4 linked regions of the Diceros bicornis minor genome follow. The protein of the gene in region 3 interacts with the protein of the main gene of each other region in a pairwise test. Links are inferred from orthologs where the notes say so. Each region holds a gene or a part of one and is shown on either strand. Other genes may lie near its edges.

The links.
Region 1: the proteins of TRIP6 (region 3) and PRKAA2 interact in binary tests that used the Homo sapiens proteins (3 or more experiments, as listed by UniProt). The link is inferred for Diceros bicornis minor from reciprocal best matches to the Homo sapiens genes TRIP6 and PRKAA2.
Region 2: the proteins of TRIP6 (region 3) and OIP5 interact in binary tests that used the Homo sapiens proteins (3 or more experiments, as listed by UniProt). The two-hybrid records come from large-scale screens. The link is inferred for Diceros bicornis minor from reciprocal best matches to the Homo sapiens genes TRIP6 and OIP5.
Region 4: the proteins of TRIP6 (region 3) and HOXA9 interact in binary tests that used the Homo sapiens proteins (3 or more experiments, as listed by UniProt). The two-hybrid records come from large-scale screens. The link is inferred for Diceros bicornis minor from reciprocal best matches to the Homo sapiens genes TRIP6 and HOXA9.

The regions. Positions count from the first base shown.
Region 1 is NC_080752.1:18,540,059-18,547,029, reverse strand, and holds the start of PRKAA2 (5'-AMP-activated protein kinase catalytic subunit alpha-2), read right to left. Parts: upstream 3,025-6,971; 5' UTR 2,976-3,024; coding exon 2,882-2,975; intron 2,431-2,881; exon of another isoform or gene 2,392-2,430; intron 1-2,391. UniProt on the Homo sapiens protein: Catalytic subunit of AMP-activated protein kinase (AMPK), an energy sensor protein kinase that plays a key role in regulating cellular energy metabolism.
Region 2 is NC_080744.1:39,058,945-39,066,015, reverse strand, and holds the start of OIP5 (protein Mis18-beta), read left to right. Parts: upstream 1-4,050; 5' UTR 4,051-4,065; coding exon 4,066-4,387; intron 4,388-4,615; coding exon 4,616-4,682; intron 4,683-7,071. Other genes in the region: NUSAP1 (nucleolar and spindle-associated protein 1), read right to left, coding at 3,603-3,695. UniProt on the Homo sapiens protein: Required for recruitment of CENPA to centromeres and normal chromosome segregation during mitosis.
Region 3 is NC_080765.1:5,033,904-5,041,071, reverse strand, and holds the start of TRIP6 (thyroid receptor-interacting protein 6), read left to right. Parts: upstream 1-4,161; 5' UTR 4,162-4,531; coding exon 4,532-4,640; intron 4,641-4,917; coding exon 4,918-5,045; intron 5,046-5,130; coding exon 5,131-5,256; intron 5,257-5,540; coding exon 5,541-5,924; intron 5,925-6,244; coding exon 6,245-6,338; intron 6,339-6,453; coding exon 6,454-6,623; intron 6,624-7,050; coding exon 7,051-7,168. Other genes in the region: SLC12A9 (solute carrier family 12 member 9), read left to right, coding at 1-162, 334-508, 713-859, 2,802-3,691. UniProt on the Homo sapiens protein: Relays signals from the cell surface to the nucleus to weaken adherens junction and promote actin cytoskeleton reorganization and cell invasiveness. Involved in lysophosphatidic acid-induced cell adhesion and migration.
Region 4 is NC_080742.1:51,998,645-52,005,408, forward strand, and holds HOXA9 (homeobox protein Hox-A9), read right to left. Parts: upstream 2,565-6,764; coding exon 1,985-2,564; intron 946-1,984; coding exon 707-945; 3' UTR 525-706; downstream 1-524. UniProt on the Homo sapiens protein: Sequence-specific transcription factor which is part of a developmental regulatory system that provides cells with specific positional identities on the anterior-posterior axis.

The sequences.
Region 1 (6,971 bases), on a different chromosome or scaffold from region 3:
TTGTTGGTAGGACTGTAAAATGGTACAACCACTTTGGAAAACAGTTTGTAGTTTCTCTAAAAGCTAAACATAAAACTACAATATGACCCAGCAATTCTACTCCAAGGTATCTAAGATATATAAGGTATCTAAGATATATAAAAACATATGTCCACACAAAGACTTGCATGTGAATGTTTGTGACGGCATCATCTGTAACCGCCCCAATCTGAAAACAATGTCCATCAAATGGTGAATGTACAGACATAATGTGGCATATCCACACAATAGATTATTACTCAGCAACAAAAAGGAACAAACTAGTGACACACTCTATGTCACGCATGAACCTCAAAAACATTGTTAAATTAGTCAGACATGAGAGACTCCACACTGAGTGTCCCCATTTACAAGAAGTGGCCAGAGAAAGCAAATTTATACAGACAGAAAATAGATTAGTGGTTTCCTGGGGCTGAGGGCAGGAACAAGGATTAACTGTAACCGGGCATGAGGGATCCTATTGTGGTGATGAAAACGTTCTAAAATTGATCTATCATGATGGTTGCACCATTTGGTAAAGTTACTAAAAATCATTGAATTGTTCACCTGGAATGAGTGAATTTTATACATAAAATATACCTCAATAAAGCTGTTTTTAAAAATGTACGTACTTTTGTTTCTTGTCCCTCGAAGAATTAAATGAGTAACTTTAGATTGTAGCAACTTCCATAATTTTTATTGAACAACTCTAATCTTGGATGGGAAACCACAGTCTAACTTTACAAAGGCTGTAACCTAGCCTTCAGAACAGCCCTCCAACTGGCTGCTCCTTGGACAGGGGTCCTCCAGGAAAAGAATTTCTCATAAATCAAAGTATATTCTGTTGGCCTATATTTGAAGAAGCCAGTGCCTGGAAGCAGCTCAAGAGTATACAAAAGAGATTCAAGCTGTCCTCTGACAAGGGGCCAATTGAGTTGATGGGTGTTCTAGTCTACATTCAGATTACAGCTGAAGAATTTAAAAAGATAAACAAAAATGTTTTGAAAGGACATAGGGTAAGTTATATAACTTTAAGAGTGTACATGTCCAGATGGCCAAGGCACTGTTTGCTTCAGGAAGTGAATAATGTCCAAACACATTAGTCCTCAGTAATGATACTTAATGACGAGTAACGTTACAAGCATTAATCCAATCCCTGGATCTTCCTATATTCAAGCTAAATATATTCTCTGAACTATGCACTTTATTTACGAGGTCTTTCAAAAATAATCCAGAACTTCATAGCCTCATAGGACTTCAAAGAATTTTACAACCTTTTTAGGTCTTTACACAAACAGTACCTTATCTGTGAGGCCTTGCTTGACAACTTTATTGAAAATTGTCAACCTCACAAAACTCCCTATGCTCCCTTCCCTGATTCATTTTTCTCAACAGCACTAGACATGCTATATAGTTTACATACATATTGTGATTATTGTTCGTCTTCCCCTACTAGAATATAAGCTCCACAAAAGGAGGGATTTTAATCTGGTTTTGTTTCTTGCTGTATCCTCACTGCCCAGAACCGTGGCCAGCACATCATAGGTGTACAATAAGCATTTTCTAAACAAAACGGTATCAGATATGTGGAAGTAAATAAGAGCTGATGCAAACAATGAGTTTCTTCTACCTATTTAACAGCCTTGATTTAAGATTAAAATATGAATTTTAAACCAAATAAAGGCCTCAGAATAAAATCTCCAAACTGCCTACTGAACTTCTACAGCAAAAAGAAAAAAAAAATTCAACATTTTACTTATAATCCTGGATGTGCAACAATCAAAGGGAAAGTATACTTAATAAGCTGGCTCTAGTTCTGGAAAGAGGACAAAACAATTCAATCCCATGTGACTTATTAACAACAGAAAAGGAAAGTTCAATACTTAACTAGTAAGAAGTAAAACATTTCAAAAGCAGCCTGTTTTTCTACACCCAAAATGGGATCCTATCACCAAGAAAACAGACCTCAGCGGACTATGCCTCAGCAGTTCTGGCCTCCTCAGCCCCACATCCTCCAAGGTCAACACCAAGGGGGCTTTTTTCTCTGCCCCACTCCTGAAGCCTTCCTAGAACCATTTTACACATGCCAACCAACCTTCCGAACTCCCAGCTCTAATCAACCCCTGACAAATCCAGCTGCATGCCAGCCCTTCACATGCCCAGCAGAAAGACCGACCCACCTCTCGCCCCTGGAGCACCCCCTAGACAGCCAGCCCCACCAACCTAGAGCCCGGGAGCATGCAAGAATCGGGAGGGCAGGGACCTCCCAGCCTGCCCAGAATCGGAAGACATTTTACTCTTCATCCTGGTTCTGCCAATTTCTGTGTGACCTTGAGCACGTTCCTCAGCCTCTAGGGGTCCCCGTTTTCTCACCTTCAACGTGAGAAGAACACCTGACCCAGCTGCTGTGAGAATTACAGATCACAAGGAAAGCACCTAACGGGGCACCTGGCAGAATGGAAACTCAACCATCAGGACCGTGGAGGAGCCCCCCGTCCGGCCCATGCCGCAGCTGGAAGGCACGCCACCGCCGAGTCCGCGCTCCCGGGTCTACAGAAGGTACTCACGTCCGCGCAGGGGAAGCGCCTCGCTCCCGACCACCGGACGGGCGGCTGGGCGCGGGCCCTGGACCCCGGCACTGCTGCCCCCGCCCTCGCCCTCGCCCTCCTCTCCGGCCCCTGCCCTGCACCTGCCACCACTGCGGGGCCAGGTGCGCCCGCGCCCTCCCGGGGCCCCGGCTCCGCGCGGCCGGGCCGCTCCACCTGCCACCAGGCCCGCGCCCGCCGCCCGCCACCCTCCCGCCCGGGCTCCGGGGCTCGGCCCGGCCCGGCCTCGGCGAAGCGGACGGCCTGGCGTACTCAACTCTTCACTTTGCCGAAGGTGCCGACGCCCAGCGTGTCCCCCAGCACGTAGTGGCCGATCTTCACCCGCCCGTCGTGCTTCTGCTTCTCAGCCATCTTCGGCGTGCGCGGCCTCGCCGCCGCCCGCTCCTCCGCCTGCTCCCCCGCCGCCGCCGCGGGCTCCTCAGCGCGGCCGCCGCCGCCTACCCACAGTGCAGCGGGACCGGGGGGGGGGGGGCCGGGGCGGAGGGGCGCGGCGGGGGAGGGCCGGGCCGGGGGGGGGACTCGCTAAACGGCGGAGGCTGGGCGCGCAGACCCACCGAGGGGGCGCGGCGAGAGGCCGGGGGCCGGGCCCGGCCGCGGAGCGGAGGGAGGGGCCGGAGCGCGGGCGGCGGTGGGGGGAGGCCGACAGGTGCGCGGGGAGCCGTGAAGGGACGGCGCCCTCACCTGCGGAGGGGCCGAGGGCGAGGGGGGTGCTCTAGGGGGCCCGTTAGGAGGAAAACGGAAGGGAGTGAAAGTGTGCGGCTGAGATTTGGGCGAATCTTAGCGAATGGAAAGAGATGGGAGTCGAATTCGAAGCAGAGAAACAGGCCCACAGTGTGGGGAGCGAGAGGATGTGAAAACCGCAGTGTGAGCATGAGGGAGCTCAGGGATGGGAGGCGGCGGGGGCCGGGATCCAAGGTCAGCCCGAGGAGAGCCAGGAGGAAGTTCCTCACGTCACGGCCTGGGAGTTTTTGATACAGGTCGTGGCACACACGGAACCCAATGCTGTGCTCTCTTCAATTGTCCTCCTCTACGTATTTCATCATTTTCAATTATTTTGTCCTAGAGATGGAAGAGACCCTCTCCTCCAGAGCTCTCCATTCTAACTAATTTGCACAAAGTTCTTCATTAAATCAGTCACAATATTTGCTTGATGGTATTTAGCACATGCTTAGATAAATATATAGTGTAGAAATAGCCTGTGATGGGGCTGCACCAGAGGAAAATAGTGCAAGAAATGAAAAGGGAAATTGAATATAGTGAGCATAGGAAGTAAAATACATAAGAGACAAAGAGAATTGTGAAGAGGAAGGGCTGTAAGGGCACAAATGAATGAAAGATAAAGATAGAAGGTGGGGGGACAAAATGGTAAGAGGAAACAAAGGCGCGACACCCAGGTACTGTATTGAATACTGACAGGAATTTAGTAATGAAGGAATGTCTTCCTTCCTTCCTTCCTACCTTCCTTCCTTCTTTTTTTCCTTCTTCCCTTCCTCCTTGCCTCCCTCCCTCCCTTCCTTCCGTGTCGTCCTGTTCTTCAATGTTGCCTGTCTTTCAGTGCTTGCAAATTATTTGCTGATTGGAATAAATGTTTAAGGATTAGTTGAACATTTTTAACGTTGTGCATGACGATGACGTTTCAAGGTCACATTCCTCAAACAAGAAGTGTCTTATCACGCTGTTTATGTGTAAAGAGAGAAATACATTGATCAGAAAGAATAAGATGTAACAGAAGTTTGTTTTCTGAGAAGTGATAGATATACAAATGGCAAATATACATACATTCTTGTTTAGACACCGTGACAATCTAATGAGAGATGATCACACCTTATAAATTATAGATATCGCAGCTGTTGAACAGAGGCTATTTTTGTTCATTCTTGGGATCATCTTTCTTGCTGACAAGAAGTATCATTTAAGAATCACTCTACCTAGCTGGCAATTTGGAGAAAATAGCCAGTTATTTTTGATGCTGACCCTTCCTTCATTTGGTTAAGGGTCACTCCTTCAGTATTCATTCAAGTGAATAAGGAAACAAAATACATATTCTGCTTTTGAGATAACAAGATGTATGTCTGTCTCTTGTTCTAACATCCCATTAAAAGATGTTGAAAAGTCTGTTAGATTGGTTTCTTGAAGCTGCGTGAAGACCGACTATAGAGATTTTAAAGGATTCTGCACTGTCTTAACTATTTGTTGATAATTACAACTTAAATGATTATATCCTTCATAACTATGATCCTTACCTAGCAACTATAATAAATAAATAAATAAAATAAAACTACCCTGTAGCTTTATTATTATGCCAAACAGGTGTATGATACTTTGTTGATTAAAAAGTTCATTTAAACACAATTATCTCATTTAATTGTCGTAAAAGAAACTTAACTATTATCCCCATTTTATAGATGATAAAACTTAGTTTTTCACTGTCTGATTTGGCCAAGGCTAATCAGTTCAGTGGCAGAGTCAGAACTCAATATCCAGTTCTGACCTGTCCTTTTGTCTTTCTACTATGCCACAGCTGCTTATAAATAAAGATCATGTGGTGCTCCAAGAATGTTTAATGATTTTTTTTTTTTTGCTGTATTTTTTTTGTGTGTGTGAGAGGAAGATCAGCCCTGAGCTAACATCCGTGCTAATCCTCCTCTTTTTGCTGAGGAAGACCAGCTCTGAGCTAACATCTATTGCCAATCTTCCTCCTTTTTCTCCCCAAAGCCCCAGTAGATAGTTGTATGTCATAGTTGCACAGCCTTCTAGTTGCTGTATGTGGGACGCAGCCTCAGCATGGCCGGAGAAGCGGTGCCTCAGTGCGCGCCCGGGATCCGAACCCCGGCGGCCAGCAGCAGAGCGCACACACTTAACCTCTAAGCCACGGGGCTGGCCCTCCAAGAACATTTAAGATGTTCACAATTAAGAGTCCCAGTCTCCTATTTTTATTATTTCTAGAGCAGGCCAACAATATATACTTTAAACTCATATTTTTAGCTGTTTTCCCCTCTTTTATTTAGAGGGAAGATTGAATGCTAAATAGGTGAGAAAGGTGGGAAAGGGCACCCCTTGGTGGCAGCACTCAGCCGTCTAGTGCCCTGACCATTTCAGGTGTGGTTCCATGTTTGCCTCACCCCACCCTGCAGTACAAACCTGACAGTTAATCAGACCAAATCTCCTTAAGGGTCATGCCCCTTGGGGGTCTCACCTCCCAAAATGTTCTGGTAGATAGAATGTTCCCCATTGTATTATTTTCCAGTGATGTTTCAGTGTCTCTGTGTTGTTTAGTACCAATGTCTAAGATGAGTGCCCCAGGCAGCTACTCAGTTCTTAACCCTGGTCAACTGTTCCTGCTTTACCCTCCTACTGTTGGGTCTTTGGGGTTATTTTACTTCAAATATTCTAAAGTGGGGCCTGAATAAGAGAATAATGGCATACCACTGAACTCATATACTATACTAGAGTCTGTTGGTATTATCAATAACCAGTTCCTTCAAGTCTTTGCTCACAGTCACCTTCTCGCTGAGGCTTACCTTCTCTGACCAGCTTATTGAAAATGGCAATTTCCTAGGCATTTTGTTCTTTTGGTTGCAATTGTAAATGGGACTGTATTCTCGATTTCTCTTTCTGCTATTTGGTTGTTAGTGTATAGAAATGCAACTGATTTTTGTATGTTGATTTTGTAGCCTGCAACTTTACTGTATTCATTGACTATTTCTAATAGTTTTTGGTGGATTCTTTAGGGTTTTCTATGTAGAGAATCATGTCATCCACGAATAGTGACAGTTTTACCTCTTGCTTTCCGATTTGGATCCCTTTTATTTCTTTTTCTTGCCTGATTGCTCTGGCTAAAACTTCCATTACTATGTTGAATAAGAGTGGTGCAAGTGGGCACCCATGTCTTGTTCCTGTTCTCAGAGGGATGGCTTTCAGTTTTTCACTGTTGAATATGATGTTGGCTGTGGGTTCGTCATATATGGCCTTTATTATGTTGAGGTAGTTCTATAGAAGAAGGAAACTACTATACCCATTTTATTGAGAGCTTTTATGATAAATGGATGTTGGATCTTGCCAAATGCTTTCTCATCTCACCCACACTCCCTGCTCTGCACTCTCCATCCTCCAACCCTTCTCAACGTTTTTCCACGGCACTTACCTTCTAACATACTATTTAATTTAGACGTTTATTATGTTTTTGTTTTGTCTGTCTCTCAACTAGAACATAAGCTTCACAAGAGAGGATTGTTTTCTCTATTTTGTTCACCAATGTATCCTGAGCTCCCAGAACACTGCCTAGCAAATTATAGGCACTCAAGTGGATTCAGGTTGTGTGGCATCTGAGGTTTATGTGATGTGCGG
Region 2 (7,071 bases), on a different chromosome or scaffold from region 3:
GGTGGCCTCAATAAGAGTACTTTCAGTGGAAAAGAACAGAGAAATTGGGCAGTAGGTGAAGGACATAGGGTTAGGAGAGGGTTTTTGTTTCTTTTTTTAAGATGGGTGATAGCAGGGCCGGCCCCGTGGCTTAGCGGTTAAGTGCGTGTGCTCCGATGCAGGCGGCCCGGGTTCGGATCCCAGGCGCACACCAACGCACCACTTCTCCGGCCATGCTGAGGCAGCGTCCCACATACAGCAACTAGAAGAATGTGCAACTATGACATACAACTATCTCCTGGGGCTTTGAGGGAAAAATAAATAAATAAAAATTAAAAAAAAAAAAAAAAAAAAAGATGGGTGATAGTAAGACTTGACTGCATGCCTTATGGAAATGAGCCAGCGGAGTGGGAGAAACTGGTGTAGGAGAGGGGAGCTCATTGCAGGAGTGTAGCCCGGGAAGAGGGAACGGGTTCCCAGCACAGATGGCAAGGCTGCCCTTAGGCGCAGCCTTTTGCTATAACAGGCGGAAGGCAGAGTAGGCAGGACAGGTGCAGGCTGGCTGGAGGGTTGGTGTGGAAAGATGAAGTAATTCTCAGCTGATTGCATCTATTTTTCCATGACCCATGAGGAAAAGTCATCAAGTGAGAGAAGGGAGCCAATTTGAGGTGAGAAGATACAAACTAACTGTCCTCAAAAATGGGAAAGTTAATGACTACTAAGGAAGTGTAGTAGAATCAAATGCTCATTTTATGATTTATGGTCGTAAATTTAAATTCAGTTCAGTCAACAGAGTTAGCTGATTTTCTCCAGCCAGGGTTACACAGGTTAGGTATAGGCAAGGATTAAGCACAGAGCTGGGTTTAATCAGGCTTGGAGTTTTGCCAGGTGAGGGAGGGGAGCTGCAAGAAAGTGGAAATAGTGCCAGTCTTTGTAATCTAAGCTTGTAAGAAGGAAAGCAAGGGCAGCAGTGAGAAGAGAAAAGGACCAGTGGCCATACAATAACTATGAGTAACTGCCTCCTTTGTCTTGCTTTACCGTCAAGAGTAGTATCTCAACTGGAAGAGCTAATATTTTCTCTTTGAAATGTATCTAGAATGTTATCATACTGGTGAAATTTATTTAAATTTTATTGAAAATTTTAAAAATAATCAAATCTTGATAATTTCTTGGAGCACTTTATTCATTTTTTGCTATGTACTTGGAATTTAAAAAGGCAATTGATTTAATGAGCCTCTGGGCTGTACCAGCTATAAATAATTTAAAACATTTTACTTAGGGAAAACTTCGAACACATACAAAAGTAGAGAGAATAGTGTAATGTACCCCCATGTATCTATCACCCAGTTTCAACAATTATCAACATTCTGCTGTTCCTACTTCATCTAGACCCCCATCTTTTTCCTGCAGCATTTTATAGCAAATCCTAGGCATCATAACATTTCACCCGTAAGTACTTGGTATGTGTTACTAAAAAACAGAGAGAGAAACATAATCACAATACTATTATCATACCCAACAAAATTAACAGTAGCTTAATACAATACATTGTCGAAGTTTAATTTTCTCCATCTCAAAAGTGTCTTTTTATTTTGGTTATAATAAAGCCTTGTATGGTCAAATTTGTCTGGGAAATAGTACCTCTCAACAAATATGTATCAGCACCAAGGATGTGCTAGATATTGTGTGCTAGGCAGGCGGTGGGGTCTGTAGTGACAAACAGTGTACTACTCCACCTCTGTGACAAGGTGATTAATTGGCTACGCCGGATCAGCCACCTCAAGAGACAATGATGGGTGGGACTTTCAGAAAAAGATCTAACTTGCAATAGCTCTTCAGAGACCCAAATGGTTGTAGGCCTCAGTGTTAGCCAGACCTCTGAACTCAGGTATGTGTCTCCACTGTAACTTTCTTGCCACCATCTGGTGCATTATTCCAGCACTGTCAAGAAGTGGTTGTAAATAATAAATAGTAATTATTCAGCATCTTCTATATAAAACATACTGCACTTAGTGCTGTAAAGACTTCCAAGGTGGATGGATGAGATCCCTGTTCAAGGAACTTAATTTTTAGTGGAGAAGATAACATACAGACACAAATAACCAGAGTACAAGGTGGAAGCCTGCAAGTGCTCAAAGAGAGTACTTGAAATTAAACTGCTTTAAAAGCACAGAGGGTTCCTGGGATTACTGGGATGTTGGACCTGTGGTTAAAGGAATGAAGAGGAGGGGACGAGGCCCCAAGACAATGATGACATTTCAGATGGACTGTGAAGAGTAATTGGAAATTATTCATGCAGATAAAGAAGAGGGAGAGAGAAAGGGATCTGAGGCCAAAGGGCCAAAGTTAGCAAAGGCACAAAGATGGACAAAGGTACCAAGTGTTCAGGGACCAGTCCAATTTGGATGCAGCCTTGGACAAAAAGATTCCAGCCAGCCTGCAAAAAGCCTAAGGGATTTAAGCTAAGGAATTAGGTTTTGCGGGCCGGGCCGTGGCTTAGCGGTTAAGTGCGCGCGCTCCGCTACTGGCGGCCTGGGGTTCGGATCCCGGGCGCGCACCGACGCACCGCTTCTCCGGCCATGCTGAGGTCGCGTCCCACATACAGCAACTAGAAGGATGTGCAGCTATGACATACAACCACCTTACTGGGGCTTTGGGGAAAAAAAAAAAGGAGGAGGATTGGTAATAGATGTTAGATCAGTGCCCGTCTTCCTCAGCAAAAAGAGGAGGATTAGCATGGATGTTAGCTCAGGGCTGATCTTCCTCACACAAATAAATAAATAAATAATTTAAAAAAAAAAGGAATTAGGCTTTGTTTATGAAATTGGGGAGCCATTAAACATTATAGCTCAGAAATATCTCCAAAGACACTCCTTTACCATTCAGCCCCAAGAGGTACCTGGGCACTATTATTTTGTTTAAACCATTTAAAAACATTTAAGATGGCTGATTTAGGCATTTGCTCAGTGTAAATCTCGAGTATTTGTTCTGCTATTAGTATTATGTGGGAAAACTCCACTAGAATCTAGTATAGAACCCCAATCCCAAATTGAATCCCCACATTCTCCCCCAGCGTTTTGCAGCCTCAAAGAACTTACCGGTTTTGAAACAGAACACTACTACAATAGTGGTCAATAAATGAACGCTCATAGTACATCAGGGCTGAGATATAAAAATTTATCCACAGGGGTGGTCCCCTAAAAGTGTTCCTTTCTTCTGGGTCCCCCAATAAAGTAGCAAGAGATTTTGGGCACTATTACAATTTACAGAAGTGTTATTGTTTGGAATTTTCCAGAAGCCAAGGCAATTATTTCCGCGACTGCCTAATAATTAATCGGCATTAGACACAGCATTCCTTGAGCTTTCTGCCTGCATTTCCTAACCGACGCCCTGGAAGTATCACAGAGTACTTCAATAAAACCGAACCAAACACACCCTTTCGGAGCCGAGGCCTATGTGAGCCCTCAGAAAAGTCAGCCTCAAAATAAAGTGAAAACTACGGCTCCCCTTCCTCGTTAACCAAATCTACCGGCCCAGGGCGGGCTCGGTCCCTTCCCACCGCGTCTCCCTAAAGCCGCTCATCCTACCCCTCCCGCAACCGGCCCACGCCATCGACCCCGTACCCTCAGGTTAGCCCGGAGGCCCAGACTCTTGGCCAAGTTCTGCAGGTCACTGTACTTGAAGGAGTCCAGCTCCTCCAGGGAAGGGACGGTCATCGCGATCTGTAATCCAGGCGACCACGCAGACGATCGACACTCCAACCTCAGCAGCGCCGTTCAAATCTCTGGCGCCACTATAAGCGTTGACCAAGCCGAATTTTATAGACAGTTTAAATTAAGGGTGCTGCACTTCCATTGGTTAAAAATGCCTCGAAGGCGGGGTTTCCTGGTGTTGACCAATAGAAAGGCTGATTCCCCTTAGTCGCATATTCTTCCCCACCCCTCACCAACACGTAGGCGTCGAAGGGCGTGTCCAGGCAACGAATGCGCCGCAGAGCCCCGGCTCACGATGTCCAATGAGGACGGAGGAACCGTGCTTGGGGCGGGGCCCGGTGCGTGTTCGAAACGGAGGCGCGGCTGCGGGAAAATGGCGGCTCGGGCGCGGCGGCATCGCTCGCGTTATGCAGTGCTCCCGCGGGGTGACTTTTGCGATAGCGCTAAGAAGGCGATTGATGAACCTTCTTTAACGACTTCCATGGAGTGGGACACGCAGGTGGTGAAGGGGTCCTCGCCGCTCGGCCCTGCAGGGCTGGGGGCGGAGGAGCTGCCATCCAGCCCGCGGTTGCCGTCGTGGCTGCAGCCCGAGAGGTGCGCCGTGTTCCAGTGCGCTCAGTGCCACGCCGTGCTGGCTGACACGGTGCACCTCGCCTGGGACCTGTCGCGGTCCCTAGGGGCCGTGGTCTTCTCCAGTGAGTGGGGGCGGCGTCTGGGGAGGGCCCGAGAGGGTGTTCCAGCTTTCTCACCGGGTGGCCGAGAGCCAGCTGGGGAAGAAAACTGGGTGAAGATTTGGAAGGAAATGAACCCCTTTGCCGGGATTTTCTTGATTTTTGTGGCCATGATGAGTCTGTCTGAAGGGGGAAGGTTTTCCCTTTCAAGGCCTCACAGGTACTCATTCTGACCCGTGTTTGTTTTCCTAGGAGTCACAAATAACGTGGTTTTGGAAGCTCCCTTCCTAGTTGGCATTGAAGGTGTGCTCGAAGGCAGGTACGTACTGAGAATTTTCGGTCTGTAGAGACCTATCTGTCTCTAGTCCCTGACTTATTGAGACTGAGGAGTGTGGAACCGACATGCAGGAGGAGAAAATAGCTTGTTCTTATCTTGCGCTAGAAGAAGTTGATTCCATCCATACAGTGTATGCTAAGGATGCTCGTTTTACCTGCTTGAGTCTTGTACGAACTTGATGTATTAATGCATTGGAAAAGTGGTATTTATGTGTTGATTTTAGAATCTTTCTGAGGGTCACATTTCCCTAGTGGCTTGTGCAAGTGAAGTGAGGCTAAGAAACATCTGCCTAGTAGGGGAAAAAGGAGAAAATTACCTTTTGGTGTATAGTGAGAATCAGTTACTACAGACTACCATCCTTTGAGATAACTAGGACTTATAAGTTTCCATTTAACCTGGAGTTTGTAATAAGCTATGGCAGGACTAACTCTGCTGTAACCCTGGAAACTGGGGAAAAACACAAGTTGAGTGTTACATACTTGAATACTGCCTGGTGAACTTTGCATCTTGCCTGTACTATGATTTACAAGTGACAACAAGGTACTCAGTGAATTTAGTATTACAAGGCTCTTCAATTTTGACTGTTGGCTTTAACAGCAAGACGGTTTATTCTGACCACAGTTGGGTCAGTTTTAGGGTTAATGTATAGGAATTCTTGGTTGCTTTACTCAGTAACCAGGAAGCGTTCTGCAGCTCCTCTCTCCCAACTGAAAGACACTAACTCCCTATCCTTATGGAAGTGTCCTCTTCCCACCCCAAGTGAACAGAGAGGGAAGGAATAGTGGCCTGCTTGGAACTAGGTCATTTGGGGCCAGAGGCAGAAGCTCTCTGAACATCTGCTTAGAGAGGAGGATAATGCCTCTAGACCTGTGCTGTCCAGTACTGTAACTATTAGCCACATGTAGCTATTGAGCACTTAAGATGTGGCCATTCTGAATTGACATATGCTGTGAGTGCAAAATATGCACTGGATTTTGAAGACTTGGTACAAAAAAATTAATAATTTTAAAATATTGATTACATGTTGAAATGATATTTTTGATATATTGGGTAGCATCAAATATATTAAAACTAATTTCATCTGTTTCTTTAAAATTTTTTTTTTTAACGAGACCAATAGAAAATTTAAAAATACTTATGTGGCTCACATTATATTCCTATTGGACAATACTGATCTAGATGGTTTATAAAACACTGGAGGAAAAGTCCCATGTGTTTGTGTATTTTTGGAATAAGGAGAACCATGGGACTTGGCAGGAAGAGATTTATTACCAGGAATTGGCTATGCAGTTATGGAGGGTGAAAAGTCCCAAGAGCTGGAGACACAGGAGAACCAATGGTTTAGTTCTAGTCCAAGTCCACAGGCCTGAGAACCAGGAGAACCAAAGATGTAAGTTGCAGTCCAAAAGCCAGCAGGCTCAAGATCTAAGAAGAGCCGACGTTTCAGTTCAGGTCCAAAGGCAGGAAAAAAGACCAATGTCCCAGCTCAAGGCAGTCAGGCAGAAGGAGTTCCCCCTTACTCATGAGAGAGTCAGCCTTTTTGTTGTATTCAGGCCTTTCACTGAGTAGGTGAGGGCCACCCACATTAGCGAGGGCTATCTGCTTTACTCAAGTCTACTGATTCAAATGTTAATCTCATTAAAAAACACCCTCACAAACACATTCATAATGATGTTGGACAAAATAACTGGGCACCCTGTGGCCCAGTAAAATTGACACATAAAATTTAACCATCAGTTGTTAACTTGGCTCCCATATGCATCTCCTAAAACCATACTTAATCTCCAAATAAAGACAATAACAAGGTCATAATTCTGCCTAACATGTTACAAGAATCCTGCATACAACTGAAAATGCACTAACCCCTTCTCCAGAAAAGGAGGTAAAGTCTTTAAGTGAAGTTTACTTTTCTCTTTGATATCTCATAACTTAAATTCCATGATGTAAAATTACCAATACTTAAATACGATGATATAAAGACGATATAGCTTATGTTACATGATGAGGGAATAAGAGAGGAAAGAAAATAGATATTTGCTAAGAGAGGGAAGAAAGCAGAAGGAAGAAAACAGATAAACACACATATACACACCAACATATTTATAACAAAATAGGGAGGAAATATGACAGTTACAGTCCTCGGTTCTGTAACTCGTCCCGTGCTCATAGCTGGTATTTATAACTACCTTCTTCCACTGCCCGTTCTGTATTCCCTTTGCCTTCAGCAAGCACTCAGCTGATCATAGTTATTTACCTGGTGTGGTGATGCAAACGATTCTCCAAGGCCATTAGACTAATCTGCAATGAAATCGTTGTTTTGTATTGCATGCGTAAGCATAATTTTGTGATTTCTTTACATTTTGCTCTGTGC
Region 3 (7,168 bases):
TGCTTGCTGGGGGTGGCCTCCTGTCTGCTCATGATGTTTCTTATCAGCCCCGGGGCTGCTGGCGGCTCCCTGCTTCTCATGGGCCTGCTTTCCGCCCTGCTCACGGCTCGAGGAGGCCCCAGCAGCTGGGGCTACGTCAGCCAGGCGTTGCTTTTCCACCAGGTCAAGGGGGCTTGGAGGAGGGTGGGGAGGGGAGGAGGCAGTCTGGGAATGCCCACCCCTGAAGGAGGCCTCCCATTCCCTTGGCTGGAGCTGGGGTTCCTGTCTGAGAAGTGTTGAGTGGGGGCCGCCTGCTTGAGCCCTTCCTCCCCACCACCCCACTCCTGTCCCCAGGTGCGTAAGTACCTGCTCCGGCTGGATGTCCGGAAGGATCACGTGAAGTTCTGGCGGCCCCAGCTGCTGCTCCTGGTGGGGAACCCCCGGGGTGCCCTGCCTCTGCTGCGGTTGGCCAACCAGCTCAAGAAGGGGGGCCTCTACGTGCTGGGCCACGTCACCCTGGGAGACCTCGGTGAGTTGCCCCCCACTCCTCTTCTCCCTCTCAGTCTCAGACGCTCTTTGGGTTCTGTGTCCCAGAGGCTCGTGGTTCTTCCCGAACGATCCTTCCAGCCAGCCTCAGCCCTGCCTAGACCTTTTTCTTCTGCCCATTTGGGATTTGAACTCTAGGAGAAAGTACATGAGTTTGGCCCACATTTGCTGCCTGCCTTCCCCGCAGACTGCCTGCCCTCGGACCCTGTGCAGCCGCAGTACGGGGCATGGCTGAGCCTGGTGGACCGGGCCCAAGTGAAGGCCTTCGTGGACCTCACCCTCTCGCCCTCCGTGCGCCAGGGAGCTCAGCATCTGCTGCGGATCTCGGGCCTTGGTGAGCTGCTCCTTCCCCCGGCCCCCTAGGGCCTCTGTGTGGCCCCTTTCAATCTGTTCCCCTCCCCCAGAGAATAAACCACAGATTGCAGACTCCAAAAGGTACTCACTGTCGAGTGCAGATAAGACACAGCCTCAAAGCTAACAGACAGTGTGTGATAAAACCTCAGAGGAGATGCTTAAGGACTCAAGATGGGGCAACTGTTATTTTTTTCTGATCCAAAAATTGGGGCACAGGCTCTGAAGAGCATGTTGTATTTCTGGGGACAATGGGAGAATTATTTGAGCCTGGGGGCTGCCCCATCAAATCTAGGACAGAAGGTTTCTAACCACCCGAGTTCAGAGAAAGGAAGCTCACCATGTGCTGACGTGGCCAGCAAAGGTTTTGTGACAAGATGGTGTCTCAGCTGGGCCTTAGAAGGGGTGGAGAAGTAGAGAGTGATGTAACATGGCCCCCAGAGACCACAGAGGATGTGGGGGATGCATGGGGCTGATGCGTTTGGATGGAGTGGAGGATTCCCAGCTTTGTGACTGCGTCTTAGTACTGAGGCCTCCCACCTTGCACCCAGGCTTCCTCCAGATCTGTGCTTAGCTGCCTCCTTCTCTCTTAATCCCTCTCTGAGTGCATGCTGCCTTCTCCATTTAGAATCTGGCTAAAGTTCAAGTGTTGGACATTGCCCTGTTCGGTGTAAATCAGAACCGTGGAAAATGCTCAGGAGGGGGTATAACTAGCTTACTTTGCAAGATCAGCTGGAGTTCACACCTGCTGAGGTGTTTTGGGTTGTTTTCCAGCATTATTAGACAGACCCTGGAGCACCTGAAGGCCTGGTCTCTCCTCAGCCCCACCTTTTTTGGGGAAACCTGTGCAAACAAACCACTACTTTCATGAAATGTATCCTGTGGGAAACGATTCAAATAAAACAGAAAAGGTTTTCTCTAAATAGTAAATTTGCCTGGCAAGTAAAATTTGATTTCCTGGTAGATTTTAAGCAACCCATTTGTTTCACGAGAAGGAGTCTCAGAAGAGGTCTCAGCACCTTCTTGTACATGCAGCCCTTTAAAGAGGGAATTATCTGATTCCATATAGGTTATCCAAAAATTAAAAACCAGCGGCTGCTGGCAGGGACTGGGGCATTGTGGTTGGTACACACACCAGCTTAGAGGCTCAGAGAGTGTGTTCTGGTGCTGGGCACATTGTGCTCACCTGCCGACCCCATATTTACCAGCCCTGAGCCCTTGGGCAAGTGACTTCACCGCTCTGTGCCTTATCTGTAGAAGGGGTTGAAGTAAATAGTCCCTACCTCGTGGCGTTGCTTCAAGGATCAGATGAGTTAAAACACGAAGTGCTTTCTTTCAACAGCATGTGGCCCCCGGTTAGTGGGCAGATGTTAACTGTCTCTTCTCTGGGGACGGTGCTTTGGACCCACCATCATTAGGGCTTTGCAGTCATGGAAGCATTGTGCAGCCCCAGCCCGAGTTCTCATCCTTCCCCAGCAGAATCCGGGTGCTGTCTCCCTGGGGATTGAGGCCATGAGCTTGACTAATCAGGGGGTCTGGTCTGCCCCCGGGAGTCAAACTCATCTCCCATCATGAAAAAGGTGTGCTGGGAGAAGCTTGGAGCAAATGCATCTGACTGCCATGGACCGGAAGTGCTCATTAGTTAAAAGAATCCCAAGGTGGCCTCTGCTTATTTAAGTGGGGGAGATTAGTCATGGAGGTAAATCGAATAAATGCATGTGCAAGTGTTTGGGAAAATGAAAAGTCATCATGCAAATGTGCATAATGTTGCCTTAAGAGACCAGGCCCGGTGCGAATCTCATACCTGACGGCTGACACATTTCCTTGTCAGCGTGTAGGAGTGGGCAGGGATGAGCGTGGGGCAGTCTCTGCCTGTGAGTGTGACTCCTGTTGGTTCCTTCCCTCCTCCCCCTATCTGCCCCCAGGTGGCATGAAGCCCAACACACTGGTCCTGGGTTTCTATGATGATGCTGCACCGCAGGACCACTTCCTGACAGACCCGGCTTTCTCTGAGCCTGCAGGTGGCACCCAGGAGGGCGGGACCCCAGCCTTGAGCACCCTGTTCCCTCCTCCCCGGGCTCCTGGGAGCCCTCGGGCTCTCACTCCCCAGGACTATGTGGCCACGGTGGCAGATGCCCTCAAGATGAACAAGAATGTGGTCCTGGCCCGGGCCTGTGGCGCCCTGCCCCCTGAGCGGCTGAGCCGGGGGTCTGGGGGCACCTCTCAGCCGCATCACGTGGACGTGTGGCCCCTCAACCTGCTGCGGCCCCGGGGTGGGCCTGGCTATGTAGACGTCTGCGGCCTTTTCCTGCTGCAGATGGCAACCATCTTGGGCATGGTGCCTGCTTGGCACAGTGCCCGGCTCCGGATCTTCTTGTGCCTGGGGCCTCGGGAGGCCCCTGGGGCGGCCGAGGGGCGGCTCAGGGCACTGCTGAGCCAGCTGAGGATCCGGGCTGAGGTGCAGGAGGTAGTGTGGGGCGAGGGGGCTGGGTCCGGGCAGCCTGAGGAGGAGGAGGAAGGGGACTTCGTGAACAGTGGGCGGGGAGACGCGGAGGCAGAGGCCCTGGCATGCAGCGCCAACGCCCTGGTTCGGGCCCAGCAGGCGCATGGCAGAGGAGGAGGGCCAGGTGGGCCTGAGGGTGGGAATGGTGTGGAGGGGCCTGCCACTGCCCTCACCTTCCTGTACCTGCCTCGGCCGCCTGCTGATTCTGCCCGATACCCCCGATACCTGGCGCTCCTGGAGATTCTGAGCCGTGATCTGGGCCCCACGCTGCTCATTCATGGCGTCACCCCCGTCACTTGTACTGATCTCTGATGCCCCATCCCTAAAGCAGAGGGTGCCCAGGCCGGGAGGCCCACCTTGAGTAGCAGATGAGGAGGAGAAGGGCCGCCTCCCCGCCTGCCCCACACGTGGTACACGGAGCCAGGTGGAGGTATTAGGTGATCCTGATCTGCGGCATCTGCTGTCTCTGGGAGAGGGGCCCTGGTGCACGCGTGCAGGGCAGCTGTCTGGCCACGTCAGCCTCCCTCCCTTCACCGGTGCCTTGTCCGGGGCTGGGTCTCCGCTCGTGACTTCAGGCTACCTCAGTCTCCCCCTCACCCAACAGACTCACTGACCCCTGAGGTTGTGATATTTGTGTTCTGTTTTATTTTTCTAACTGCTGAACGTGAATAAAAGACCAAAACACTACGGGCTGGCGGAGCACTGCTGGGGGGTGGGTAGATGGGACGGGAGGAGGGAGACATCTGTATGGGGGGATGTGGGAAAGAGGAGCGCCAGAGCGTCCCAGCGTCGAGGTGGCCATGGGCAGGACCTGGGGCGCGGGGCGCAGGGCCTGGGGGACTCGGGGAAATGGAGGCTGCCTGCAGCCTCCCAGACGCCGGCTCCGCGGAAAGCCCTCCCCGCTCAGCAGGAGGGGGCTGACTAGGGAGGGACAGCAGTTTAGGGCCTAGGGGGCCACGTGACCCTCCCCCAGGAATGCGATGATGTCACAGGGGGCGTGGCCATCCCCAAAATTGGGGAGGAAGAGGAAAAAAAGCCAGAAAAAGTTTCTTTCCTGGAGTCCCAAACGAGGGACGGAAGAAGGGGTCAAGGCCAGAGGCTCAGGGCTCCGTGAGGCCCTGACCGCGGTCTGGAGGTCCCCCGTTCCAGGCCATGTCGGGGCCCACCTGGCTCCCCCCGAAGCAGCTGGAGCCCGTCAGAGCCCCTCAGGGGAGAGTGCTCCCCCGGGGCGCCCCGGGGCCGCCACCAGCCCCCGGAGCAGGTAAGGCAGTCCCCAGTGGGCCCAGGAGGCCACCTCTGCCCTGAGGCTCCTGCCTCCTGCCCAGCCTGCCCAGCCGCCCCTTCCCCGGAGCCAGGCTGGGACTAGCCGCCCCTGCCCTCTCGCAGCCCTCCCCACCTCCTGTCCCATTCTCGGAGCCCAGGTGCGGGAGGGGGGGGGTGAGGGGGAGGGGAGACGAGGGACCTAAGAGGGCGTCCTCCACAAGTGTCACCCTCGTCTCCTTCCCCATCTACCCTTCCTCTCTCTTCCCTCACCGCAGCACTCCAGTCCCACCCCAGGGTCAATTTTTGCCGTCTCCCATCTGAGCAGTGTTACCAGGCCCCAGGGGGACCAGAGGATCGGGGGCTGGCCTGGGTGGGGTGCCATGGAGCACCCCAGCGTTCACAGGTGAGAACCGGGATGGGGGGGTGAGGGCAGGGCAGGAGAAGAGGGCCGTGTGATTTGCTTCTCCCTGCTTCTGCTCCATCCTCAGGGGCTCCCCCCAGACAGAGGGGGCTTGCGCCCAGGAAGTCTGGATGCTGAGATAGATTCGCTGACCAGCATGCTGGCTGAGCTGGATGGGGGTCGTGGTCATGCCCCACGGCAGCCTGACCGGCAGGTGACCCCCTGTCCTGCCCCGTCCCTCCTCTGCTCCCTGTCCCCTGTCCCCCCACCCGCCCCCCTAGCCTGGTCCCTTCTCTGGATTCTCAACCCAGTCCACCCCTCACCTCTACCTTGTGGAAGAAGCTGGGCCACCAGAGCTTGCTAGGTTGTCAGCCACTTGAAGGCGGGCCGTTGTCAAAAACCAGCACTTACCTGGGTGCCACACACATGGGTGGGGCATTTCCACAGGTGTGTGTCCTGAATGGGCCCAGCTCACTCCTGGTCTGCGTTTCTCCTCAGGCTTATGAGCCCCCTCAGCCCCCTGCCTACCGCGTGGGCTCCCTGAAGCCGAATGGAGGGGGTGTTCCTTCCCCACCGCTCCCAGCATCCACTTACGGGGGCCCCACTCCGGCCTCCTACACAACAGCAAGCACGCCCGCCGGCCCTGCCTTCCCTGTGCAAGTGAAGGTGGCACAACCAGTGAAAGGCTGTGGCCCCCCCAGGCGGGGGGCCTCTCAGGCCTCCGGGTCCCTGCCGGGCCCCCACTTTCCTCTCCCAGGCCGAGGTGAAGTCTGGGGGCCTGGCTATAGGAGCCACCGAGAGCCAGGGCCGGGAAGTGAAGAGGAGGCTGCCGGGGTCTCTGGCCATGCAGGAGGAGGAAGAGGAGGCGGGTATGGGCCCCCGGTAAGCACCGTGTATGGGGTTTGGGGTCCTCACAGACAACTGGACACTGATTGGGCGGGGTGAGGAGTGGTGTTTAATGTCCTGGTTGTCAGAGGTCTGAGGTGTCGGAGCTCTAGATCCCCGGAGAGTGTGGGCAGGTCAGGAAGTACAGGACGGAGGGGACTGGAGCTGTACCCTGGCTCCCCGAGGTGTGCCGCCTGGACGCTGGGCTGAGACGTTCTCAGATGAGCTTTCTGGGCAGAACTGCCTGGTCACCCTCAGCGATTTTCACAGGGTCAGGAGCTAGAGGTAGGGCCGAACCCCTGATTCTCACTTCCCAGGTGCCCCTGAGCCAGCCTCCCGAGGAGGAGCTTGAGAGGCTGACCAAGAAGCTGGTGCATGACATGAACCACCCGCCCAGCGGGGAGTACTTCGGTGAGCTGACCCCACCGGTGGGGTGGGAAGGGGGAGGTGGGGCTAGAGAGTCAGAGGGACAGCCGATCCAGCTTCCTAGCTTGTGCAGATTGACCCTGTCCCTCCCTGTCCCCAGGCCGGTGTGGCGGCTGCGGAGAAGATGTGGTTGGGGATGGGGCTGGGGTTGTGGCCCTGGACCGCGTCTTTCACGTTGGCTGCTTTGTGTGTTCTACGTGCCGGGCCCATCTTCGGGGCCAGCATTTCTATGCTGTGGAGAGGAGGGCATATTGTGAGAGCTGCTACGTGGTGAGTGGTTGGGGTGGGGGGCTTCCATCCAAGGTGGGAACTAGATGTCCAAGCCCCAAAGAGGAACAGGACTCGAAGGTAGGGGACTAAAACTGATGTACAAGAAGAATGGAGGACTTAAGTAGCTAAATACTGCCTGCTGGAGGGAAGGACCACAGTCCCTTTACAAGTGTGAGGCATTTATTTTAGAGTTAAGGAAAGTGTTAAATTCCCACCATACCCCTGTGAGGCAGATATTACTACTGAAGGAAACTGAAGCTCAGAGTGGTTAAATAACTTGTCCATGAAGCTGCATTGCTGAGACTTGCCACCTTTCACTGAATCGCACGCAGGTGGATACACGAACAGATGGTTGGGCTGGCAGGATGCTTGTGGGGCTGCCATGGGTCACCCCAGCCCTCAACCTTCCTCCCTTCCTTCCCAACAGGCCACCCTGGAGAAGTGCTCCACATGCTCCCAACCCATCCTAGACCGGATCCTGCGGGCTATGGGGAAGGCCTACCATCCTGGCTGCTTCACCTGTGTGGTGTGCCACCGCGGCCTCG
Region 4 (6,764 bases), on a different chromosome or scaffold from region 3:
ACCGTGAATCTATGTATCCCGGAGAACCCTTTCTCTCTTTTTTAAAAAAATTTATGTCACTGGGAAATCCTTACAGCTAGTTTACAATCAAAGGTTAACAGCCTAATATACAGAAGACATATTCCACTACAGAGCTATACTCTATGCAACTGTTTTTCCCCTTCATAAACAACCTGAGTTCAAATTGAATTCTAGCTTTCACAAACACAACGGGTGCATCACCCAGCACAGAAGTTTGAGTCACAAAACATAATTACCACAATAAAAGACAGTGTTCAAGTATCTGGGCAGATCGCTCTGCCGCACAAAGAACAAATTAAATTAACTACACAGACTAAAAACTATACAGCTCTCCATCAACAGTTGTGCATTATAAAAAGGTAGTTTTTTTTTGTTTGTTTTAAGTCAGGAACAGGTAGATTTTTTTTTTTAATATATACAAGCTAGCACACGCAGCCATCAGTGCTAATGCACCCCCCCCCCTTTTTGTCTTATAGAAAATGGAAAGCTTACAATACCTCCTCCATCAAAACGGCAGGCCAAGGAGCCAGCCTGAGCAGGGTCTGCCAGGGGGAGATGAGGCCTGGAACCCCCTTTGTGCGGGGTGGTGGAGGCTGGGGTGGAATGGGGGTGGGAGAAGGGGACAGGCAGTCCGTTCTCTTTCTCTCTAGCTCTCTGGCTGTGTTCTAAACGAAGTCGAGTCTCGTCACTCGTCTTTCGCTCGATCCTTGTTGATTTTCTTCATTTTCATCCTGCGGTTCTGAAACCAGATCTTGACCTGCCTCTCGGTGAGGTTGAGCAGTCGGGCCACCTCGTACCTGCGGTCCCTGGTGAGGTACATGTTGAACAGAAACTCTTTCTCCAGTTCCAGCGTTTGGTGTTTGGTGTAAGGGCAGCGCTTCTTCCGCGTGGAGCGCGCGTGGAGCCAGTTGGCAGCCGGGTTGTCTGTGGGGAGAGAGACACGGAATTTAGAAGGAGAAGCACACCCCCCCTCCGCTGGGGGCTAGGGAACCTCCTGGGGTCTTCGACCAAAGTGCAGGACACTGCTGAATTGGTTAGGGAAGGCGGCTGAGCCACAGACACAATGGAACCCTGGCAGACAGACGCAGGGACGGTCACTTACAATTGCACGCAGTAAAACCTCGGCTCCCCCTCCCCTCTGAGGCCCTCCTTTCTCTTCTTCCTCTGTCCTCCCGTCTTTTCCTCTCCTTCCTCCCACTCTCCGCACACTGTACGAGTGAAATGTGGAAACAGAGCTTCTTGCCAGGCAGGGAGAATCCACGCTGCCCTGTTCATGTAGCAGGATTGATCTTCTCTTCGCTCCTCACTGACTCACTGTCTTCCCTTCCCCACCTTTCCTTCTACTCTCCCACTCCTTATTGACCTCCCTGAAAGGCCGTAGGAGCTGGGCAGGCAAGCACGGTGCCCCTGGGCGGCCCAAGGCCGTTGATCACTTCTCCAGTTTATTCGAATAATCTGGCATGGGGACTCGCGGGGCCCGGGCGCCTGCAGCCTCATCTTGGGCAGGATTTACGCCGCCACTGGCTGAAGGCGAGAACTGGAGGGAATCGGCCGTCTCTCCCAGTGTCCCGGCTGCAGTTGCTGCCGCTGCTCCCAGACAATCTAGCCGCAGAAAAGACTCTCTGCCGCGCTGCTTTCGAAGAATGGCTCAAAGTATCTCTGTCCTGGTCCCGGGCAGCCAGGGAGAGGGGCGACTGGTCTTGGCTTGGCCCGCAGCGCCCGCCCCGCCCCCTCTCTCGGCAGCAGCCGCCTCCCCTCCCCCCAGCCCTGTGGGCCCACTTGTCACTGCTCTCTGGACTTGGGGCCCCATCCGAGGCGTCCCAAACAGCAACTTCTGGCTCTGGCCCCTGCTTAGGAGGCTCCCAGCGCGGGCGAAGGCAGACTTGAGAGAAAGCTGGCGGGCCGGCAGATCCAGGTGGCCGGCGTGGAGGCGGCGGCCGGTATGGCGGGAGGAGACACTTACTGGGATCGATGGGGGGCTTGTCTCCGCTGCTCTCATTCTCAGCATTGTTTTCGGAGAAGGCACCTTCGCTGGGCTGTTTTTCTCTATCAACTGGAGGAGAACCACAAGCATAGTCAGTCAGGGACAGAGTGTGAGTGTCAAGCGTGGGACAGTCACCCCTTCTGGCCGACAGCGGTTCAGGTTTAATGCCGTAAGGCCGGCTGGAGGGCAAGCCCGCGAAGGAGAGCGCACCGGGCGTGGGCTCCAGCCAGGAGCGCATGTACCTGCCGTCCGGCGCCGCCGCAGCCACCGGCGCCTGGGGGTGCACGTAGGGGTGGTGGTGATGGTGATGATACACCGCCGCGGGCACCGCGTTGGCGCCCGCCGCGTGCACCGGGTTCCACGAGGCGCCGAACACCGCCGCCTTGGACTGGAAGCTGCACGGGCTGAAGTCGGGGTGCTCGGCCAGCGCCGCAGCCTGCCGCGGGGGCTGACCCAGGGCCCCCGGCGCATAGCGGCCCGCGCCCAGCTCGTCCGCGGTGTCGGCGCCCAGCAAGAACGAGTCCACGTAGTAGTTGCCCAGGGCCCCGGTGGTGGCCATCGCCGTGCCCCGCACCCGGCCGGCCGGGCCGACCCGCGGAAATTATGAAACTGCAGATTTCATGTAACAACTTGGTGGCACCAGGGGGAGAAGTACAGTCACCTAATAAGTTGCCGGCGCCCGCGCCCCTATTGGCCGCGCGCGTCACGTGCCCGCCCGGCAGAACAATAACGCGTAAATCACTCCGCACGCTATTAATGGCCCGGTGTTTTGCAGTCATAATTTTTATAGCAAAAGCCATATGTTTTTATGCAAAGGGATCGCGGCGCTCCACGATCGGGTTTGTTTTAATTGTGGCCAACGAAGATTAAAAGATCAAATCTGGCCTTGCCTCTGTACTCCCTCCCTCCCCTCCCCTCCCACCGCCACCACCAGACACACACTTCTTAAGCGGACTATTTTATATCACAATTAATCACGCCATCAGCAAGGCGCGGGTCCTGCGTGCGAGTGCGGCCAGCGGAGCCCCTCATAAAATTAGACAATAATTGAAGCCATAAAAAAGCAGCCAAATCGCATTCTCCGTCTACTGTATTTAAATCTATATTTATGATATTTCATAAGGAGTTATTGTTTCAGAAGCCACACAGGCTGGTGGGAAGTTGGGAACCACCAACAGATTCGTTTTCCTCGCCGTGGCTCCCAGCTGTAAAAATTTACGAGGACTTGGAAAGGTTAAATTAGACTGTTGTGTTTGGTTGGCGAGCTCCCTGTAAATAACCCCTGCGGTTCCCAGAGATGCGAGTTTACTCCGGACCGGCTGCGAAAAGTCAAATTCAACATAGTATCCGTCCGAAACAGAGACACCCCTGCCCCTGCCCGGGCGCGCTGGGCAGAGACAGGCCGCCGAGAGGGCACCGCCTATCGAGGGCCCCTGGAATTTGCCAGCCTGGGGCGCCGGGCGCCGGGGCAGCTCCCAAATTCTCCCCTGCGCCTCCAGCGTGGGCCCCACCGAGGAGCGGCCGCACAGGGAGCAGCCAGCCGTCCCTGAGGCGAAGGGTTTGAGAGCCTGGCTGTGCCGCGTGTTCCGCCCGAGCCCCCGCACACGCGCGCTCAGCGCGCACTGTTCATCGTCCGCTGAGAAGCACGATCCCCTGCGGACGCAGGAGGCGATCCAGCCCTGTGCTCCGACCTCTAAGGCCCTAATACTGAGCTCTGCAAGCCTGATGACGCTCCCCGAACCAGAGCTGCGAAAAAAGGCGGGCGGCAGCACCAGTGGAAGGAGAGTCCAGCTTGCAAAAAGGCAGCCCCGCCTGAGACCCCGCGGCTCCAGTAGCTGGGAGGCCTGCACCGGAGCGGCTTGCCTCGGGACTCAGTATGAGTCCTTCAGGGTACCTTCCTTCCTTCCATCCTTCCTGGCCACCGCCCCGGGCCCGCCTCGGTTACCCATCCGGCGGGGCGGCTCAGCAGAGTTACAAGGCCCAAAGCGGAGGCGGCCGCAACTCAAGTCCAGGGCTAGAAATTAAAATGAGGAGGGGCACGGGGCATTGACTTTAATCCCATCCCTTAACTTGGCCAAATTGAGGAGGGTATTTCTCACTCCTGAGAGTCAGGGGTAAATTAAAAGACCTCGCCTCTCTTAATTGGGGGGGAGGGGGGGAACCCAGCCCAAATCCGAACAGAAAGCAGCGACTCTGAAAAATGAGGTAATTAAATTCACGTGTGAACACTGTGCCTGCAAGAGTGTTTCTCATTAGCCCACTTCCCTGGCGGCGAGGGCGGGCGGCCTCGGGCGCTTCCATCTCCTTTTCTGCCTTCATCCGCCCTAACGGTTCCAGTAATCCCCCCCAAAACCCTGATCCCAGGTGGAGATCCTTACATGCCAGGCTCTCCACCAGAGTGAGGCTGCGAAGCCGAGGGGAGGCCAACCGGGTGCCCCTTCCTCCGCCGGCGCCGGAAGAGGGAAGTGGTGCGCACAATGAACTCCGACGTGGCTGGTCCTGGCCGCCTCGGCCCCCTCCCCCCTAATATTTTCCTTTCCCTGTAAATTCCTCCGCGTTATCCCCACCCCCACCGCAGCCCAAGGTGTCCCAAACTCGAGCACTTCGCGGAGCCCCTGAGATTTTCACTAAGAAAAATTAACCTTGGAGAAAACCTTCACTCCTAATTGTAATTGGACACGCCTGGCTGCCTTTGCACTTTTTGTACCGAGAAGACACGAATTATTATTAGCATTTTTTCCAAATAAAAAGGCTGTTCTTTAAATAGCCTTAGCCCCCAAAATAAGATGGTTACTAAATAATTAGCAGGCGTTGAGTTTTTAGTCTTCCTTACTGATGCCAAGAAGGAGGGAAAATTACAAAACCAAATATTATCCCTCTTCATCCCAGAGGTTTGGGGAGAGAATATTTAGGCTTTTGTGTCTGCTTTTATTTTAGAAGTGAAAAGAATTGCGTCTGCATAAAGAAATAAGTTGGTGTAATTACAAACTGCTTCTTCTCGCCTGCGAGTTCTAAAACTTCGGCCTCCAAAACAAATCCAATGCTCGGGTCCAGAAAGTGGCAGACAGGAGTTGAGAGGAACGCGCTGTGCCGGCCTTTCAGATAACAGGACGGCGGGCCCTCGGCCAGAGCTGCGAAGGGAAGCACCGCTCGCTCGGTGGGCATGAGTCTGAAGGCCCGCGAGTGTGTGTGTGTCGGGGGGTACGGAGGGATGGAGATTGTTTTCAGTTCTGGGTAGCGAGAATGGTCCGACTAGCTTCCAACGGTGGACTACAACTTGGAACAAGGACTCAAGTTTGTATTCCAACGGTTCTGGAATTTAGGATTCCTTTCCCCTATTTTTTGAAACAGACTCGCGCTGGAAGGGTCCCCTTCCCCAACACCCGTCCACACATGGATGCCGTTTCTAACATACTCTGAACCTGATAGAAGCTAGTGGCAAGCAAGCAGCGAATCTTTGCCCTAGCGGGGCTTCCTTATCGCGGTTAAAGCTCGAGCAGGGACCGGCAGGCCTGGGAGAGCGGAGGAAGCTTCCCCGCGGAGTTCCCTGCGTTGCCAGGCTCTACCGAGACTGGCTGGGCCTCAGCCCAGGTCCCAGCCTCAGGTCCCCAGGGAGGCTGTCGAAGGCCTCCTTGCCCTCGGTGTGGGCACACAAAAACGCCGCGAATGCCCCCCTAATCCGATCTCCTAGGCTGCCATTACTGGCCCGCGGAGTAGGAACGCAAGGCCGCCGCCATCCGGTCGTGATCGTAACCGAGGCCTTGTCTGCGCAGCGGCACACCAGGCCCAGATCCACAGCCCTCAACAGCAGCCCCACGCGTACCCTTCCTCGGCAGATTTCGACTTCCACTTGAGCACGCAGAGAAAAATAACACCCCCCCAGGCTCTCCCCAAGCCAGCCCTGGGTCCCTCTGGAAGGAAGAGTTGAGGAGGATGGGAGGTGGAGATAGAAAACGACACAGAGAGACTGAAGATGAAAGAAAATTAAAAAGAAGGAAAGAAAGAAGGAATAAAGAAAAAAGAGTAAAGAAGGAAAGAAAGAAGGAAGAAAAAGGCGACTCCCAGGAGTAGAGAGTGGTTTACAGACAGAAGGGTAAGTGGCAAGGCCGGGATCCCAGCCTCTGTTCGCCCCAGTTTGGCCTGAGTCTCCACTGGCAAAGGGATCTTTCCTGATCTCGTACCTGGATTGGGGCTAGTGTTGTCCTAGCCTTGCAGCAGAATCGCGGGTCCCTGGCCAGGCGCAGGCCTGGAGCGGGGAAGGCCCAGGACGGAAGCGTGCGCCCCTGACCTTGAATGGCTCGGGGCCCAGAATTACTACCACGCCCCCGGCGTCCGCTAAGGAGCAGCTAACCTGACCATACCTGCTCGGGGCCAGGTAGAGATGGGGGGTGAGGCCAGCAGGCAGGCAGAGCTCTGAGAAGGAGGCAGGGTCGAGGCTCCTGCGTGGGAAAAGCCGAGGTTGCCACCGCAGGCCTGGCACGACCAGGGTCTGGATGCCCCGCCCGGCCCGGCCCCCGCGCGCACAGGTACCTGGAGACGATTTCAACTGAAGTAATGAAGGCAGTGTCGTGCTGTCGAGAGAAAGCTGGATCCCAACAACAGGAAACTACCTAAATCACCGACCAGTTCTGGTGCTGCCCGCGCGGGGCTGCCTCGCCCGCCGCCGCCTCCGCCGCCGCCACTGCCGCCGCCAAGGGAGAACCCTGAGATCGCGCCCGGCCCGGCCCCTCGCCAACCTGCGCCCGCCGCTGCTACTGCG